4 linked regions of the Saccharomyces cerevisiae S288C genome follow. The gene in region 1 interacts genetically with each later gene. Each region holds a gene or a part of one and is shown in the gene's direction. Other genes may lie near its edges.

Evidence for each region.
Region 2: mutations in RPS30A (region 1) and YOR289W together harm fitness more than expected from each alone (negative genetic interaction), as found in Saccharomyces cerevisiae (2 studies listed by BioGRID).
Region 3: mutations in RPS30A (region 1) and TIF1 together harm fitness more than expected from each alone (negative genetic interaction), as found in Saccharomyces cerevisiae (2 studies listed by BioGRID).
Region 4: mutations in RPS30A (region 1) and TOM1 together harm fitness more than expected from each alone (negative genetic interaction), as found in Saccharomyces cerevisiae (3 studies listed by BioGRID).

What each region holds. Positions count from the first base shown.
Region 1 is NC_001144.5:711,239-715,409, reverse strand, and holds RPS30A (40S ribosomal protein eS30 RPS30A), read left to right. Parts: upstream 1-2,251; coding exon 2,252-2,254; intron 2,255-2,684; coding exon 2,685-2,873; downstream 2,874-4,171. Other genes in the region: GTPase GUF1, read right to left, coding at 1-321; MEC3 (Mec3p), read left to right, coding at 506-1,930; YLR287C (uncharacterized protein), read left to right, coding at 3,352-4,171.
Region 2 is NC_001147.6:851,028-855,357, forward strand, and holds YOR289W (uncharacterized protein), read left to right. Parts: upstream 1-2,329; coding exon 2,330-3,085; downstream 3,086-4,330. Other genes in the region: rRNA-processing protein RRP36, read right to left, coding at 1-812; protein disulfide isomerase MPD1, read right to left, coding at 1,094-2,050; SWI/SNF catalytic subunit SNF2, read right to left, coding at 4,120-4,330.
Region 3 is NC_001143.9:553,191-557,939, forward strand, and holds TIF1 (translation initiation factor eIF4A), read left to right. Parts: upstream 1-1,796; coding exon 1,797-2,984; downstream 2,985-4,749. Other genes in the region: glycogenin glucosyltransferase GLG1, read left to right, coding at 1-1,430; UTP30 (Utp30p), read left to right, coding at 3,328-4,152; mannosyltransferase KTR2, read left to right, coding at 4,487-4,749.
Region 4 is NC_001136.10:1,367,333-1,373,308, forward strand, and holds the start of TOM1 (E3 ubiquitin-protein ligase TOM1), read left to right. Parts: upstream 1-2,457; coding exon 2,458-5,976. Other genes in the region: bifunctional K:H/Na:H antiporter NHX1, read left to right, coding at 153-2,054. UniProt on the Saccharomyces cerevisiae protein: Probable ubiquitin ligase protein involved in many cellular processes, such as transcription regulation, maintenance of nuclear structure, cell cycle, mRNA export and rRNA maturation.

The sequences.
Region 1 (4,171 bases):
ATCTTTATAAAACATCGAACATGTTTGCGCCTTTATAGTAATACCTCTTTCTCTTTCGACTTCCAATTTATCCAAAACTTGTTTATTTCTCGCATTGGGATCGATGACATGCGTTATTTCCAGCAGTCTGTCACTTAAGGTTGACTTCCCATGGTCAACATGGGCAACTATAGAGAAATTTCTGTAATTTTCGAGAGGTATTTGCTCGATCTGTGCTTGTAACTTCTGTGCAGGGGTAGTCGTATGGTTATATCGTAAGAAATATGCGTGTCGTTTATAACACCGTATATGTCTCACTGGCCTAATTCTAAATTTCAGCATTTTTATGTGCAACTAGTTTCCCATATTCATGGCTCTTTTTCAATGGTTGCGGCTACAAATATAGGCGAGTTATACTTGCCCTCGTCTATTATTCAACTTTTTTATTTACATCAAAATAGCAACATAAACATACGGAGATGATGAGAGAAAAAAGAAGACAAAAGGTGTGTCTTAATTCAGTTAAATGAAATTAAAATTGATAGTAAATGGTTGTGAAGCACCTGATGATTATAAATTGCTAAGAACTACTATCAATACAGTTGCTTCGCTACGAAAGACGGCTATCTTAAGATTTAATAGTGAAAGATTGACAATAATATCCACTCCAAAATCATCACTCAACAGCAGTAACAACGGTACAATATTACGAGGGGATACTGGTCAGCTTTGGTGTACCATTCCTCATGATGTATTCAGATTATATACAGTTATATCAGCTCGCGAGCTCAATACAATAACAATGGAGTGTAATTGTGATTCTTTATTGAGTGTGTTTAAAAGGTATGATCGAGTAATGAACCAAGGATCTTCCTCTAATATGACTATAAAACTACAGTCAATGCCAGAATGGAATACAAATAACGGAACACTTTCAGGAGGAACAGCAGGAGGCGTAGATACAACCTCAAAACCGAACCCCATTTGTGCTCTAGGTATAACATTCGAAGAAATTGTACATACTAGCGGCCCAAATGACGCTATAGTTATGAATGGGGGAGTGGATGAGCACAATGGTTTACCAACCACAGTAGGCACAGGAAATCTACTCGCAAGCAATAAGGTTATCATGCATTCGTTCAAAGTACCTGTCAAACTATTATTCCGAGCACAAGATACGCGAATACAAGAGCCAATGATTAACTATATTCAACTGATGATGTACAAGCTGCCACCAATATCGGGCGAGTTTGGCTCCGCCTTCCACGGGTTTATTAGACGTGTTGAACGGTACAGTAATGTCAACCACATTCATTTAATGGGAGTCAAAAAAAAGGAGCATGGAAATGAAGGTGATGATGTAGAACTTAAGATAATTGTGAATGAATTAGATTGGCATTTGGAAATATGCTGGAATGGACCCTTAGACTCTGTGATACAACGCCAAGAAGGGCTCACTGACAATCCTTCCCAAAACCAGCACATCGACACAGACGGCCGGCAGGAGGAAGGATCTCTTCCGATTATCGAAGCGGATAAACCGATGTCTTCACTATATACCAATACTAGAGATCGAGAGATGGAAGAAAATATCCGCTACGATGAAGATTTATTAAGAATTGAGGATAGCTCGATCGCAGATACGCGGGGAAACATTTACACAGCTGATACTAGCGGTGATACTGAATTTAATGACATATCCGTTATGGTGGAAAAGGCTGAACAGGAAAGTTCGTCCACACATGAAGTAATCATCCGTTGCAAAGATTGGAAGGTGTGTTCCAAGTTATACGCTGCATTTGAAGAAGTTGTTTTGGCGATTTCTCACGACGAATCCTGCGTATTCCACTGTTCGTTGGATCGTGGTAGCTTGGAAGATAGCGAAGATGTGGAAAAACCAAGGGAAAGAGGACAAATCATATATTATATAGCAAGATCGAAGGGCTTGTAAACCCTACAGCGGTACATTTCTTTGCTACGTTGCTAAGGAAACTCTTTAAATCTGACATGGCTGAGAACTGCAGAGTTGCAGAGTTGCAGACTATCACATCCGTACATATGTATAAAAAAATCCGTGCTTTACATACTAACTGCTTTTCTTTTTTCCGTTCGAAAAAAAAAAATGTCGTGAGGTTGTCGGAAACCTCAGAAAAAATAGATAGAACAAAACAGCCTTACGAACGGTATGTTGCATTTTAAAGGCTACATGAACTGCACATTAAATTTGCCACTGTAATAATCTTCCATATCCCCATACAAAAACTACGCAAATATGGTACGTAATGCCTCATTAGGATTTTAAAATATGAAAAAAATGGACGTTTCAGCGAGGAATGAATAACAAGAAATAGCTAATTTGAATATATTACTGGTGTTTCATATCTATATATACCGCAGAAAAAGAAATAAAACGCAATATATCTTTAAACTGGCTCCACCCTGAGAATATGATAGGAAACTTTTTAAATTTGAGTTCTGTTACATCAAAAACGTAATTGCTTGACACAGATTTTTCGAGGGCAACAGCGTGGACTTAACATAATGTCGAGTTTAATAACAACATTTTTTGACGGAGAGTTAAAAAGGCTTTGAGAAAATAGCAGAGTGAAGTTTATTTTTAGCATCCTTGCTGATACGCCAAATAATTCAAAAATTCACTATACTAACATGGTCATTAATTTTTAATATTAATATTATTTATTTAGGCTAAAGTTCATGGTTCTCTAGCTCGTGCTGGTAAAGTCAAGTCTCAAACACCAAAGGTTGAAAAAACCGAAAAGCCAAAGAAGCCTAAGGGTCGTGCTTACAAAAGATTATTGTACACCAGAAGATTCGTTAACGTTACCTTGGTTAACGGTAAGAGAAGAATGAACCCAGGTCCATCCGTCCAATAAGAAAATTAACAGTTGTGGAAAAGGAGCTTAAAAGTAACAAGAAACAAAATAGCAGTCATGCCATCTTTACTTCAAGATAGTTTTTGACTTGTATTTGTATTTCCGTTATGCGTTTTTTACTTTAAATATAAAGCAGTATTGAAATTATGTAAGTAGTGTTAACTATAAATTATTTCTTTAGGACTTTAACTTCGCAAAATTATGCTATTCATATTATCGATTTACTTCTTTGCTGTCTTGGTGTGATGCTTTTATTAATAAGGAGGATCTTGCCGTACCTAGGGTTGGCAAACGTTTTTCTAGTTGTTTTTGAATGGGCGCTTCATAATGTGGCAATGAAAAAAAAAAAACTAGAAAAAAACTGCAATGATCTTGACGATGACATGAAGCCTCCTTTTAACAAAATCCATTGAGGTCAACAAGCATCACCAGAGACGCCTATTATAAACTTTATAAGAGAAATACCAGTTATACAATAATGTCTACTGGAAGCAGTGATAGAAAGGATGACGTCAAATTATTGGAACTGCTGAATTCTATAGATGAACAGTTTTTAGTGCCATACAAAAAGCCGGAAGACTTGCGTAAAATCTCCTCTACTACCAAACTACAAGGTTCCACCCCAACTAAGGAACTAGACAAATTAGCCTCTGTATTGAAGGCACATTGCACAAAAATAGGTATTGTTTGCAAGCCAGGAACTTTTGATAACAATCATAAAGTTGTGATTACCGAAATCCAAAATTTTAGTAGGCCATTATTCTACTTACTAAGTTTATTCCCTTTGTTTTACAATAACAAGGATTGCCCCAAATACTTTACAGACCAACTGGATGAAAGTACGCTACAATTGCTCGATGGCTTGAGAGATTTCATTGCCGAATTACAAGAAAGATTGAAAAATGACGAAAATGCATCTCTAGACAAAGAAAGGTTAACCTCAGTTGGTAAAATATTCAATGCGTGCGATTCTCTCTCTAATTGTTCCAAGGCTGGACCTTATGGGATCCTAGCAAACATCTTAAAAGATAATGTGGCCATAATGGACGATACAATGAATGAAATAAAAGAGTGGCTTGAGGAACCCGATTTTTCAGCAAACTCGGACGATATATTTTTGGATTTTGAGGATTCAGAATCCGAATCTGATTCACAGAAAGAGGAATTTGACCAGGAAAAGGTCTATGAAAATATAAAGTTGTTTTTCGATGGGTTTACGAGGAAGATAAAGCTAATCAAATTACTTGTATCAACTTTCAGGAAAACTCTGGTGTCAAAAGATTTTACTCCTAAGAGGA
Region 2 (4,330 bases), on another chromosome or scaffold:
TTCATGTGATCAAATTTCCACTTTTGCACCACTTTACGTTTCTCAGACTTTTTCAAATGGTATCTCGTATTATTGTTTTTATTCATATCATTTTCGTATTCCTTGAGAATTTCACGCTCGAGATCTTTGTTTTTCATTGATTGCAATCTCGATTTCATACTTTTCAGTCTTTGTTCCATTTCTTCACGTTCTCCCTGGTCTATTTTTGATAGAAATTTTCTTTCTTGTAACAGCTTCTGCAGTTCATCAATTTCTTTTTCTCTATATTCGTCCAAGAACTGGTAACGTTTTCTTATGATAGAACTATCAAGGGCTTTACCGGTGGACTTATCAAATCTGATGTCCTGATAGAGGTTAGACCTTTTATTCCTCGGTATTTCCAGCCCAGGGATATTTCGGACTCGTGGTACCCTTTTCTTGGATGATTGTTCTACTGGAGCGTGTTTGCTCTTCTTTTTTGGTACTTTCTGACCATGATGAGTTTCATCCTCACTATCTTCTTCAAAGAATCCAGCATCCTCGTCTGATTGGTCCTCACTGTCCTCATCTTCATCAAAACTTTCTTCTCTGTATGTAGTTGTGATCGGTTTTTTGTGAACGGGTTTCGTATCTTTGAAATCTTCTTCATCTATTACCGTTTCAGCCTTCTTCAAAGAACCAAAAGACAAGGTTTTCAACTCATCGTCACTTGATTCTTGTTCGTCAATTTCTCGCTTACTTTTGTTCGCCATTATGCTCTCCAATAAGTTTCCGTCATCTTCTTCTACGTCGGAGTTCAAGTCTGGCTTCAGATTTTTAAAGTAATACGACATTTTTAACCTTCTAGTGCTTATTGACCCTCTATACAATTTTTGGATGGCAATTTAATTATACTATTTAGTACTTATTCTTATGCCCCAGTTTTCCGGTAGAAAGGCAAGCTCATCGGTTGAAAATTTTCAAAGCGGGTAATAAACGTGTCTTTCGGTATTTAACCGCTCAGATAAAAGTTATTATTGCAAATAAAAGTAAACGTCCATGCCATCAGTTAGTGGACTATATAGATACATATGTTGTGTTTAATTAGATAATCATTGAATGAGGAAACGTACCACTACAATTCGTCGTGCTTGTTTCCTGAGGAGGAATGGTTCTTTTTAATTGGCTTCTTGCCAGTTTTTAAGTAAGCAATATATTCAGAACGTCTACTAAAAGGACCCTCATTGGGGGTAATACTAAAAGTGTCCCGCAGAAATTTGGAAATGTCATTTTTGTTGATTGAGTTCCCTTCATACTCCCAAAATTTATCTTTGTCTGCATCAAAAACGACAAGCTTACTTTTATCGCTCTGTCGCTGTTCAGGAATGACCTTCTGCAAATATTTGAAAATCTCAGGAGTTTTTTCATATGTTGGGTTCATATCGGTTAGTTGCTTGAGTTTTTTGTTTGAAATTGAATAAAAATCGAACTTTCCTAACCAATCAAGGGCAATGCTTTTATAAACCGGTGAAATTTTGTCTTGTTTGGAAAACAACACCACGGAAAGTTTGGGTGACTTTCTAAGTAAAGAGCCAAGTGTATCTATACGGACAAACTTTTTGACATATGACCTTATTCTTGAAAGAGAAAAATCAACAATAGGCGCGAGAGTTCTTGCACCTGAGTACACTTCATTGGCATGAGCGCTGAAACTTTTTTTGGCGTTATCTATTGGCTTAGATAGGTCAATTTTTGGGGGCCTAAATACCATTAACGTGGGAAATCCGTTTACGTCGTATTTAGCACACAAAGCCTTATTCTTGTTAAGGTCACAGTTTACAGCAGCAACTTGGACTACACCATCCAATCTTTTTGCTGCCTTGCGGAACGTACTAGAGAGCTTCTTACAATGGCCGCACCACGGAGCATAAAATTCCACTAATGATGTGTAATTTGTGTTATGGATCGCTTTATCGAAGCTTTTTGGCGTTAACTCTGATATATGAGGATCGGAATCGTAAAAGTTTTGCGCCTTTACTTCATTCATAATAAAAAGTCCCAAAAGGAGCTTAATAATATTAAGAAATAACATTATATGTCAAATTTTGTCTCTCCTAATTGTGTTAAGTGGATGCTTACTGTTGAAAATGACTGCGAAAAGATATTTCTCTTCATGTTATTTAACTTTTACGTGTCAATTTTAATTTTTACCAAATTTTTATACGCCTCGCAAGGCTCGAACAACGGCCCTTTTTTCAAGGGATAAGCACATGACACTGGGCGACAAAGGAGGAATATAAAGAGAAATTTGCGTCAATTTGTATCCAGATAAGATCCTTTGAAAAGATGGTTTTTGGCTTGTGCGATAGTAATGGCTTTAAGGCTATTTCGAAAATCCAGTTTTTTTGCAAAGATATCAATGGAAGGCCCTAAAGGTTCATCGCCATTTGCGTTTTACGCATTTTATCAACTTTATTCGCACTTGAATCCGGGGAAATCGAGCAGCCTTTCTTTAGAAGATATTAGAAGAAGGCTATACCCCGACTTTAAAATAGATTACAATGAGAAAACTTCGTTGTTCATAACTTGGAAGAAAAAGTCCAATAAACATCACACAATAGACACTAACGAAGAGAATTATATACTTAGAGGATGTATCGGTACATTTGCTAAGATGCCGATTGCACATGGTATTGAGAAATATTCCTTGATTGCTGCTTTAGAGGATAGGAGATTTTCTCCGATCCAGAAAAGGGAATTGGTGGACCTGAAATGCAGTTGCAACATCTTAGGCAACTTCAAAACTATTTTTCGAGGTGGTGGTAATCCAAATGGGGACATTTTCGATTGGGAACTCGGAAAGCACGGTATTGAACTGTATTTTAAGCATCCCAAAACAGGCACCACATGTAGCGCAACCTTTTTACCTGATGTTATGCCTGAGCAACATTGGAATAAAGAAGATACCTTTGCCAATTTAATCGAGAAGGCGGGTTACTGGGGCAATATTAGTGAAGTAATGGATAATTTTGAAACTTATTTCATTGAAGTAATAAGGTACGAGGGCAAAAAAAGTTCCATAACTTATGAGGAATTTAACAAACAGTTAAAAGATATAGAGGCTTAGAAAATAACCCTCGTTAGTTAGTCTTAGAAACATTAAAAAAAATATGCTTTTATACATTGATCAAGCTTAAAAATTGGACGCAACCGGAATCGAACCGATGACCTCTTCCTTGCAAGGGAAGCGCGCTACCAACTGCGCCATGTGCCCTGATGACTGTTGAAACTGTTGTATCTCAAAATGAGATATGTCAGTATGACAATACGTCATCCTGAACGTTCATAAAACACATATGAAACAACCTTATAACAAAGCGAACAACATGAGACAAAACCCGTCCTTCCTTAGCTGAACTACCCAAAAGTATAAATGCCTGAACAATTAGTTTAGATCCGAGATTCCGCGCTTCCACCACTTAGTATGATTCATATTTTATATAATATATAAGATAAGTAACATTCCGTGAATTAATCTGATAAACTGTTTTGACAACTGGTTACTTCCCTAAGACTGTTATATTAGGATTGTCAAGACACTCCGGTATTACTCGAGCCCGTAATACAACAGAAACTCATTTCTAATGAGTGGTAAATACATTTGTGGGAAATATCTTTAAGGCCATCTCGGACCTGTATATAATCTCCGAGTATTTCCATTAAAGATGAATCAAATACATGAAATATCTATTAAAGACATATACTCAAGGAAAAGAAGTAGTAGATATATCTTCTTTATATATATTGCCCTGTGTTGCTAGCAGGGTGTTGGAACAAATAATTTGTTCCGTATTGGAAAATTTATAATTAGGTCCAAGAACAAGTTCACTATGATGACGACATATTACTTTGTTCAAAGAGATGGTTTAAAATAAATATGTATAGCAGAATTATAAGAGGCGAAATCGATCAATTAGTTGAACAATTAACTTAAAATCTAATATATATAAATATATATATATATATATATAGGAAATATACGGCACGTTATACTAGAGATATTAAACATCCCAACTCGGTTAATGGGTACAATAAAAAAAAGAGGGATTAATGTTTGTCTACGTATAAACGAATAAGTACTTATATTGCTTTAGGAAGGTACTATACACTCGCTTCTGTCATGCTCGAGTCCGCTTCATCTGTGAAAGATTCAGCCACGCTTGAAGTAACAACAGGAGGCAAGACGAGGGGTCTGGTGCCATACTGTTCATCAAATTCAGTAAAGTCGAGTTGTGAGTTATCGCCCATTATCTCACAGTATTTCTTCGTAACCACTTTTTCCAGTTCTAAAGAGTCTTCGTATACTACTGAA
Region 3 (4,749 bases), on another chromosome or scaffold:
CCACGTCACAAGTGGGTGCTATTGCTGATATCGGCTGGCCTGATATGTTCAATAGCGGTGTCATGATGCTAATACCGGATGCTGATACTGCATCCGTTTTACAAAATTATATTTTTGAAAACACTTCAATTGATGGTTCTGACCAGGGCATTTTAAACCAGTTCTTCAATCAAAATTGTTGCACTGATGAGCTAGTTAAAGACAGTTTCTCTCGAGAATGGGTACAGTTATCATTTACGTATAACGTAACTATTCCTAATTTAGGCTACCAATCTTCACCTGCTATGAATTACTTTAAACCTAGCATTAAGTTGATTCATTTCATTGGGAAACACAAGCCATGGTCATTGTGGTCCCAAAAGAATTTCATTAAAAACGAGTATCATGATCAATGGAATGAGGTATACGAGGAATTTAAGGAAGAACATCAATTAAATAACGAAGTTTCGAAGCCAAAGATTAGTGATTCCGATAAAACTGAGACTCCTGAAACGATAACCCCAGTGGATGCCCCTCCATCGAACGAACCCACTACGAATCAAGAGATCGACACAATTAGTACAGTGGAAGAAAACGTGGACAACCAGAACGCCGAGCCTGTTCCTAACTCGGATCATAGCCCTGCTCCTAACCCTGTCCCATTGGATTTTACCAAGTGGTTAACAACCTTTATTAACAAAGATCACTTGACTAATCAGCCAGTAAATGAAAGCAGAGAATATTCGAAAGAGAATGATAACAATATAATCAATAGCAGTTCAAACCGCGACCAAGAAAGTCCTCCAAATAGTACTCAGGAACTAAACAGCTCTTATAGCGTTGTGAGTACTCAAGCTGATAGCGATGAGCACCAAAATGCAGAAGAGGAGGATAGTACGACAGATAACGCTTCAAATTCTGGAGAAGAAAGCCACCTCGATGATATAAGCACGGCCGCTTCTTCCAATAACAATGTAAGTAATCAACCAGATGGCAAAAATTTTAGCAATTCTAAAGAAAATAATATCAGTGTCGAATCTAGCCCTTCAAATCCAGAACAGAAAAGGTCAACTGACAATATACAAAAACCAAGTGTTTCTACTAATGACTTACCAGACGACGTAGAACCACATACCTCTGTTGATGACAATATACAGTACTTAGAAAAAGACAAGGAAGGTTATGAAGAATTTCTTCCGGACGTGTACGAGTCAAATGCAATCGATAACGAAGAAGAATTTTTTGATGACGATGCAAGAGATGCTACCGAAGGAGAAACGAAGACGAGTGCAGTTGCAGATAAACAGGAGGATATGAAACTTACAGCAGAGGAAACCAACCAACCGCAACAAGAAATGCCCAACTTCAAATTTGACTGGGAGGACTCTGATTATCTATCCAAAGTAGAGAGGTGTTTCCCTGATGATATTTTTGAGTATGCAGTAGAGTAAACTTCCACGCACATATTAGGAAAATTAAAAGACATATCTATGTAAAGACCTTTTCGACTATACAAAAATGCATAACTATTCTATATACATTCAAACTCGAAATTTACTTTAAAGGTTTATCAGCAACAACATCCGATGCTTGCTGTTTATCTTTTCTCACCTCACAACGTTTATAGTGACTGAAAAATTTTTGCATTCTCACCTCGTCTATTGAATGATGTGCTAAGAACTTGAGCTAACATCACAGAACAAAGGTATGAATATACGCAGCCCTGACATTTGTAGATTTTTTATTTGGTCTCTAGTCTTTTCTTTTCTTATTTTATAACAAATTCGTTAAACGGCCTCCTTCTAATTATATACAAGATGTCTGAAGGTATTACTGATATTGAAGAATCCCAAATTCAAACCAACTATGACAAGGTTGTCTACAAGTTCGATGATATGGAATTGGACGAAAACTTGTTAAGAGGTGTTTTCGGTTACGGTTTCGAAGAACCATCTGCCATTCAACAACGTGCCATCATGCCTATTATTGAAGGTCACGATGTCTTGGCTCAAGCTCAATCTGGTACTGGTAAGACCGGTACCTTTTCCATTGCTGCTTTGCAAAGAATTGACACCTCTGTCAAGGCTCCTCAAGCTTTGATGTTGGCTCCAACTAGAGAATTGGCTTTGCAAATCCAAAAGGTTGTCATGGCTTTGGCTTTCCACATGGACATCAAGGTCCACGCTTGTATCGGTGGTACTTCCTTTGTTGAAGACGCTGAAGGTTTGAGAGATGCTCAAATCGTCGTTGGTACTCCAGGTCGTGTTTTTGACAACATCCAAAGACGTAGATTCAGAACTGACAAGATCAAGATGTTCATCTTAGATGAAGCTGATGAAATGTTGTCTTCTGGTTTCAAGGAACAAATCTACCAAATTTTCACCTTACTTCCACCAACCACTCAAGTTGTTCTATTGTCCGCCACCATGCCAAATGACGTCTTGGAAGTTACCACCAAATTTATGAGAAACCCAGTTAGAATTTTGGTTAAGAAGGATGAATTGACTTTGGAAGGTATCAAACAATTCTACGTTAATGTTGAAGAAGAAGAATACAAATACGAGTGTTTGACCGATTTATACGACTCTATCTCCGTTACTCAAGCTGTCATCTTCTGTAACACCAGAAGAAAGGTCGAAGAATTGACCACTAAGTTAAGAAACGACAAATTTACCGTTTCTGCCATCTACTCTGATTTACCACAACAAGAAAGAGACACCATCATGAAGGAATTCAGAAGTGGTTCTTCCAGAATTTTGATCTCCACTGATTTGTTGGCTAGAGGTATCGATGTCCAACAAGTTTCTTTGGTTATTAACTACGACTTACCAGCTAACAAAGAAAACTATATTCACAGAATCGGTAGAGGTGGTCGTTTCGGTAGAAAGGGTGTTGCCATCAACTTTGTTACTAACGAAGACGTTGGCGCTATGAGAGAACTAGAAAAGTTCTACTCCACTCAAATTGAAGAATTGCCATCCGACATCGCTACTTTGTTGAACTAAGGGAGACAAAAACTTCTTAAAAAAGTATCTTGTGAGGCTATCTTGATAACGTAACATATATTTCTAAAAAGTTATATATGCTTTTTGTATTTAATTTGTTTTTCTTTTTACATTCCTATTATTCTTCAAAGTCCAAAAGACTCTCGGCACGAAGGTTGAAATACCCTATACTAATTGTTTGCTTTGTCTTTTTGTATATATCCGAACGTATCTATCTGAAATTTTTCAAATTTATAAAAAATAATATATATAAAAGGAAAAAAAAAAAAATCGATGCCCTACTAATAGAGATTGGAGCTGAAAAGAAAAAGTGTACATCAAACGCTATATCTCGAGGTTTGGGATGGTTGAGTCAAATGATATTATAAAAAGTGGGCTGGCAGAGAAAGCACTAAAGGCTCTAATTTTACAATGTGAAGAGAACCCATCTTTAAAAAATGATAAGGACATACACATAATCATCAACACGGGCAAAAAAATGGGCATAAACAGGGACAACATCCCCCGTATTATTCCATTAACAAAGTACAAGCTATTTAAACCAAGGGACCTAAACATATTACTCATTACCAAGGATCCCTCTGCCTTGTATAGAGAAACTTTGACGAAAGACGAGCATACGTCGGAATTATTCAAGGAAATTATAAGTGTCAAGAACTTGAGACGTAGATTCAAAGGGAGTAAACTGACCCAACTTTATAAAGATTTTGACTTGGTCGTTGCCGATTACAGAGTTCACCACTTACTTCCGGAGGTTCTTGGTAGCAGATTTTATCACGGTAGTAAAAAATTGCCATACATGATCCGCATGTCGAAAGAAGTAAAATTGAAGCGTCAACAAATGGTCGAAAAATGTGACCCCATTTACGTGAGAGCACAATTGAGAAGTATATGTAAGAATACCTCATACATTCCCAATAATGACAACTGCTTAAGCGTCAGGGTCGGTTATATTCAAAAACACTCCATACCAGAAATTTTGCAAAACATCCAAGATACAATAAACTTTCTCACTGATAAAAGTAAGAGACCGCAAGGCGGCGTCATTAAAGGAGGAATAATATCTATATTTGTCAAGACCAGTAACAGTACTAGTTTGCCTATATATCAGTTTTCAGAGGCTAGAGAAAATCAGAAAAATGAAGATCTGAGTGATATTAAATTGTAAAATTAAAGCATCATCTTTTAAATACGGTATTTAAACACTCCCAATGAAAAAGCGTGATTTTGTCTAACTAATTATAGCATTAATAAAGTGTTTTAAACTTTAATTCCTTTCAAGAATTTGCAAGATTATAGAAATTTAGTAAGCGAAAAAAAAAAAGAAAAAAAAAAGAACAGACACCCTATAAAAATAGAATAAACATAATAAGCCACCATTTGCCTGTCTGATGATATTCTTGATTCTTTATATCTCTTCAGGTATGTGACACCTATACATGCAACGCTTTTTTTGCGTTTTTTCTATACAATAGTTGTTTATTTAAAAGCGTAGGAGCTTCATGCAAATCTGCAAGGTATTTCTTACACAGGTTAAAAAACTACTTTTTGTTAGTCTTCTATTTTGCTTGATAGCTCAAACATGTTGGCTTGCACTTGTACCATATCAGAGACAGCTGAGCCTAGATTCGTATTTTTTTAGAAGATCTCGAGAAGTTTCATCGAGATATGATTTTACAAGGAGGCGACATATGAATCAGACGCTGAAGCTATCTAGCAACACTTATAATGATGAACCACTAAACAAGACCAAGGGAATAAAAAA
Region 4 (5,976 bases), on another chromosome or scaffold:
CGGTGTGACTTTTTCTGTTTCCGTTGCTTTTCTAGCTACTCTAAGATAAAGGGCACCCAAGATTGACAAATAGTTGTAGATTAAACATAGATTGCAAGCAGTGAAATTCAGAGGATAATCTTTTATCGCTGTCAGTACATACCATATGAAAAATGCTATCCAAGGTATTGCTGAATATAGCTTTCAAGGTGCTGTTAACCACCGCCAAGAGAGCAGTTGATCCTGACGATGATGATGAACTTCTACCTTCCCCGGATCTCCCGGGTAGCGATGACCCTATTGCAGGTGATCCTGATGTAGACTTAAACCCTGTTACAGAAGAAATGTTCTCTTCATGGGCATTGTTCATTATGTTGCTCCTATTGATCTCTGCATTGTGGTCTAGTTACTATTTAACTCAGAAACGAATTAGGGCAGTGCATGAAACTGTGCTTTCTATTTTTTATGGTATGGTTATTGGCTTGATAATAAGGATGTCCCCCGGGCATTATATTCAAGATACGGTTACTTTTAATTCATCCTACTTTTTTAATGTTCTATTGCCGCCAATTATTTTAAATAGTGGGTACGAGTTGAATCAAGTGAACTTTTTCAATAATATGTTATCTATCTTAATTTTCGCCATACCGGGCACCTTCATATCTGCTGTGGTTATTGGAATCATATTGTATATCTGGACCTTTTTAGGACTAGAGAGTATTGACATTTCATTCGCAGATGCAATGTCTGTTGGTGCTACATTATCTGCTACCGACCCTGTTACAATTCTTTCAATTTTCAATGCGTATAAAGTGGATCCTAAGCTATATACCATCATTTTTGGAGAATCACTGTTAAATGATGCCATCTCTATTGTTATGTTTGAAACCTGTCAAAAATTTCATGGTCAACCTGCAACATTTTCGTCGGTTTTTGAAGGGGCAGGCCTCTTTTTGATGACTTTCTCCGTTTCGTTGTTGATAGGCGTTCTTATAGGAATTCTTGTTGCTCTTCTGTTGAAACACACTCACATAAGGCGCTATCCTCAAATTGAGAGTTGTTTGATCTTGTTGATTGCTTATGAATCCTATTTTTTCTCCAACGGTTGCCATATGTCCGGTATCGTCTCCTTGTTATTTTGCGGAATTACTTTAAAACATTACGCCTATTATAACATGTCAAGAAGATCACAGATCACCATTAAGTATATTTTCCAACTATTGGCAAGATTATCAGAGAATTTCATCTTTATCTATCTAGGTTTAGAACTTTTTACTGAAGTAGAACTAGTCTATAAGCCACTGCTAATTATTGTGGCAGCTATTTCTATATGTGTTGCTCGTTGGTGTGCTGTGTTCCCATTGTCGCAATTTGTTAACTGGATATATAGAGTAAAGACAATCAGATCTATGAGCGGCATAACCGGAGAAAATATTTCTGTTCCCGATGAAATACCCTACAATTACCAAATGATGACATTTTGGGCAGGTTTACGTGGTGCTGTTGGTGTCGCCTTGGCGTTGGGAATTCAAGGTGAGTATAAGTTCACTTTATTGGCAACGGTCCTTGTTGTTGTTGTTTTAACAGTTATCATTTTTGGGGGCACTACTGCAGGAATGTTAGAAGTTTTAAATATTAAGACTGGTTGCATAAGTGAAGAAGATACATCTGATGACGAGTTTGATATAGAGGCTCCAAGGGCGATAAATTTATTGAACGGTAGTTCTATTCAGACAGATTTGGGCCCATATTCTGACAACAATTCTCCAGATATTTCAATTGACCAATTCGCGGTCAGCAGTAACAAGAATCTCCCCAATAACATATCCACAACTGGTGGTAATACTTTTGGAGGCCTTAATGAAACTGAGAATACTAGCCCTAACCCGGCAAGGTCTTCTATGGATAAGCGTAATTTGAGAGATAAACTGGGAACAATCTTTAATTCCGACTCACAATGGTTTCAAAATTTTGATGAACAGGTATTGAAGCCAGTATTCTTGGACAACGTTTCTCCATCCTTACAAGATTCGGCTACGCAATCACCTGCAGATTTCTCTTCCCAAAACCACTAGACTTTAAAGTGTATGGTTTCCTTGTTTCTAATATAAATATATTAATTAAGTCTTTATACATTCTCTCTTACTCAACGCCGAAGGAATACCCTTCTACACTTTATTCATTTTAAATCATGTACTGTTATATACACGCTAGTAGGATTGATCTTATTTAATCATATTTCGCACGTTACCCGACTGCTTTCAGTTTTGCCGCTTTGTGATAATGAGGAATTTCAGCTAGCTTTTAATGAGCCGATACTAAATCACCATGATTTTGGGAGAGGAAAAGAAGAAAAGGTAAAACAACGAATATTTTTCAAATACCTTAGTTACTGAATATCCATAACTACTCGTATAATTGGTGAGAAAATAGTGCATATTTAGTTTACTTTTTGCCTTTGATTGAAAATATATATTCATGGTGCTTTTTACTCGGTGTGAAAAGGCAAGAAAGGAGAAACTCGCCGCTGGTTATAAGCCCTTAGTTGATTATTTGATTGATTGTGATACTCCCACATTTTTAGAAAGAATTGAGGCAATCCAAGAGTGGGACCGATCCAGAGATGATCTTTATGTTTGGATTCCCATTCTAGACAGAATGGACGGGCTGTTGTTAAAAGTGGCAGAGAAATATAAATACAAGCAAGACCCCAAGAAGGAGTGTGAAGTCAAATTGGTGGAAATGGAAGCGCATGATGTTGATTATTGTTTGAAAATGCTAAAGTTTACTCGTCGACTACTTCTAAATACAGAAAACAGGTTTGTTTATTCATCTGGAGATGTTTTAATGTATCTACTGAATTGTCCGAATTTTACAATAAAACTAGCGGTCATGCGAATTTTAGCCATTTTAGGGGAAAGGTTTGTGATTGCGAGAGAAAAAATAGTTGCACATAACATATTTGGAGATCACAACCTCAGGAAAAAAACTCTCAAACTAGCTTTATCTCTGTCATCTTCCGTCATGGATGAAGACGGAGAGCACTTTTCTCTTGTCGATCTATATTTTGATAAGAAAAAAGTGCCTCAAAAATGGAGAAAGTTGAGATTTACACATTATACTTCAAACGACTTTAAAAAGTCAAGCCAGCAAAAAAATAACATTAATGAAACCCAAACTTCCATTAAGAAGGTAACTATGACGACCCAAGAACTGTGTGAACACTCACTACAGCAAATATTTGATAAGGGTATGGCCCTTTTACCCGCAGAAAGTTGGTTTGATTTCTCAATAAAAGCTTCGGTGGCGAAGGCCTTCAGTGATGATTCAGGTGAAAATATAGATTTGAGAAATATAATTATTGAAACAAAACTGAATGCTATTGCATTTGTTAACACCATTTTCTCGCCTCCTCAAGTAAGCTCGAAGTTATTTGAATTAGATCCGTATGCTTTTAATAGTCTAACTGATTTGATATCGTTGTCTGAAACCAAAATACCAAAAGAGCTAAGAACGGATGCTTTATTCACATTGGAATGTATATCCTTGAAGCATGTCTGGTGCTCAGACATTATCAGAAATCTCGGTGGTAACATATCGCATGGTCTGTTGTTTCAGATTCTCCGTTACATTGCCAAGACATTGAGAGAAGCGACAGACGAAATCGATGAAGAATATAATGTGAGGTTCTTTTACTTGATATCAAATTTAGCTGACGTTAAGCCTTTGCATGAATCTCTTTTCGCCGCGGGTTTAATACCTACTTTATTGGAAATTGTATCTATAAGAAATTGCCCATATAAGCGTACCCTCGCATCTGCTACCCATCTCCTAGAAACATTTATAGATAACAGTGAAACTACCACTGAATTTATCGAAAATGATGGGTTTACTATGCTGATCACTTCAGTCGCCAATGAGATTGATTTCACGCTTGCACATCCAGAGACGTGGCAACCGCCAAAATATTCAGTGGTTTATTATTCAATTTCTTTTAGGGAGTTGGCATATATTAGAAGTTTATTGAAACTCGTTCTCAAATTATTAAGCACAGACTCAGGGGATAGAATTAGAAATTTAATAGATTCGCCGATACTTGTTTCATTAAAGAAAATCCTAGAAAATAAACTTGTATTCGGTTTAACATTAATAACTTACACTCTGGATGTAGTTCAGAAAGTAATAAATAGTGAGCCTACTATTTATCCTGTTCTGGTTGAAGCAGGACTTATTCCATATGTTATCGATAATTTTCCAAAGTTAATTGGGCCTTCCGCCGAATTATTAAGTTTACTTCCAGATGTCGTTTCTGCCATATGCTTGAATCCAGAAGGGCTGAAGCAAGTTAAAGAAAAGGGTCTCATAAACAATTTGTTTGATTTCTTACTCGATGCTGACCACGCGCGTATATTAACAGGTGGAGATCGTTCTACGGAATATGGTACTGACATTGATGAATTAGCAAGACATTATCCAGACTTAAAGGCAAATATCGTGGAGGCTTTGTGTAACGTCATCAGAAAAATGCCAAGTACCTTTAGAAATGAAAGAGAGTTTCTTTTTACTTCACCAAAAGATCAAAAGTACTTTTTTCACAGAAAAAATGAGGAAATATTGACAGATAAAGAGGAACATGAACCTGCATACTGGGAGCTATTAGATAAGGGAACTATGCTGGACACATTTACCAGTGTTTTGTTTGGTATGTCTTTAGGAAATGGTTCTTTTTCACAGGTGCCACAACATCTGGAAGCGAGAGATTTTCTGGCAATAATATTTATGGAAAATCCTCCTTATGAATACTTTACCTCCGTGGCAATCTCAAATGTTACTGAGGTCCTCCAGTATCTGGATGAAAAATACGAAGACTACGCATTCATGGATGTTATGAAAGTATTGAACGATCAATTGGAGAACCTGAATGATTTTTTGAATAGTCCAAATGATAGAAGTTTCTTTTTAGAAAGAGATGGGGAAAACTCGGTGCGTTCATGCCATTCAAAACTTTGTCGACTTGCCGCTATTTTGAACATTGTTACGAATGTATACATTGACCTCACTACCTTATCTTGTAAGAGAATCATGCAGATCTATTCTTATTTTGACAAAAGAGGATTTTCTTTAATTAAAAACTTAAAGTTGCTATTCCAGAAATGTGCGTTGGAGGAAATGTACATACGCCAACATATGCCAGATTCTGTTATTACAGAAACAATGCCGTTGCCTATAGTGGATGTTTCCGGAGATGGACCACCACTTCAAATTTATATCGATGACCCAAAAAAGGGTGATCAAAAGGGGAAAATTACCAGCGTAAAAACGAGAAATACTCTTCAAATGCGAACAATACTGTATACATTACAATCAAATACTGCAATTCTATTTCGCTGCTTTTTAAGGTTAAGCCACTCTAGGAATATGGATCTAGAGCATAAAGATTTGACGACAGAAGTTCATATATTTGAGAACGTTGTTGAAAATGTTATTGAAATGTTGAAGGCCACCGAACTCGAAGGTCATCTACCGTATATTCTCGTTTTATTAAACTTCAACACCTTTGTGTTTACTATTCCAAAGGCTTCCCCTAATTCCACTGAAATATTACAAACAATACCGGCTTATATTTTCTATCAAAAGGGGGGCTATTTACTTTATTTGCACATTATAAGGGATCTCTTTACGAGAATGACAAAAATAAAAGATTTATCCTCACTTGATAACATAAACTACATAGATGAGTCCAACGGTATCCTAACCTTAAGCTGTTTAATTAATGCTCTCACCTTTTACAACAAATCAATGCAAACTGAAACCATGGAGAATGTCCAAAGTATTGGTAAGTATTACGTTTCAATAGATGACGATTATAATATTATGAAAGCTTTAACAGTTCCTATTAAGGTAATGGCTCTCGCAATGATTTTAGATTTGGATAAATCGGATAGCCTCTTCAAGACACAGTCCCGTAATGTGCCTTACTCAGTTTTCAAGCAACTT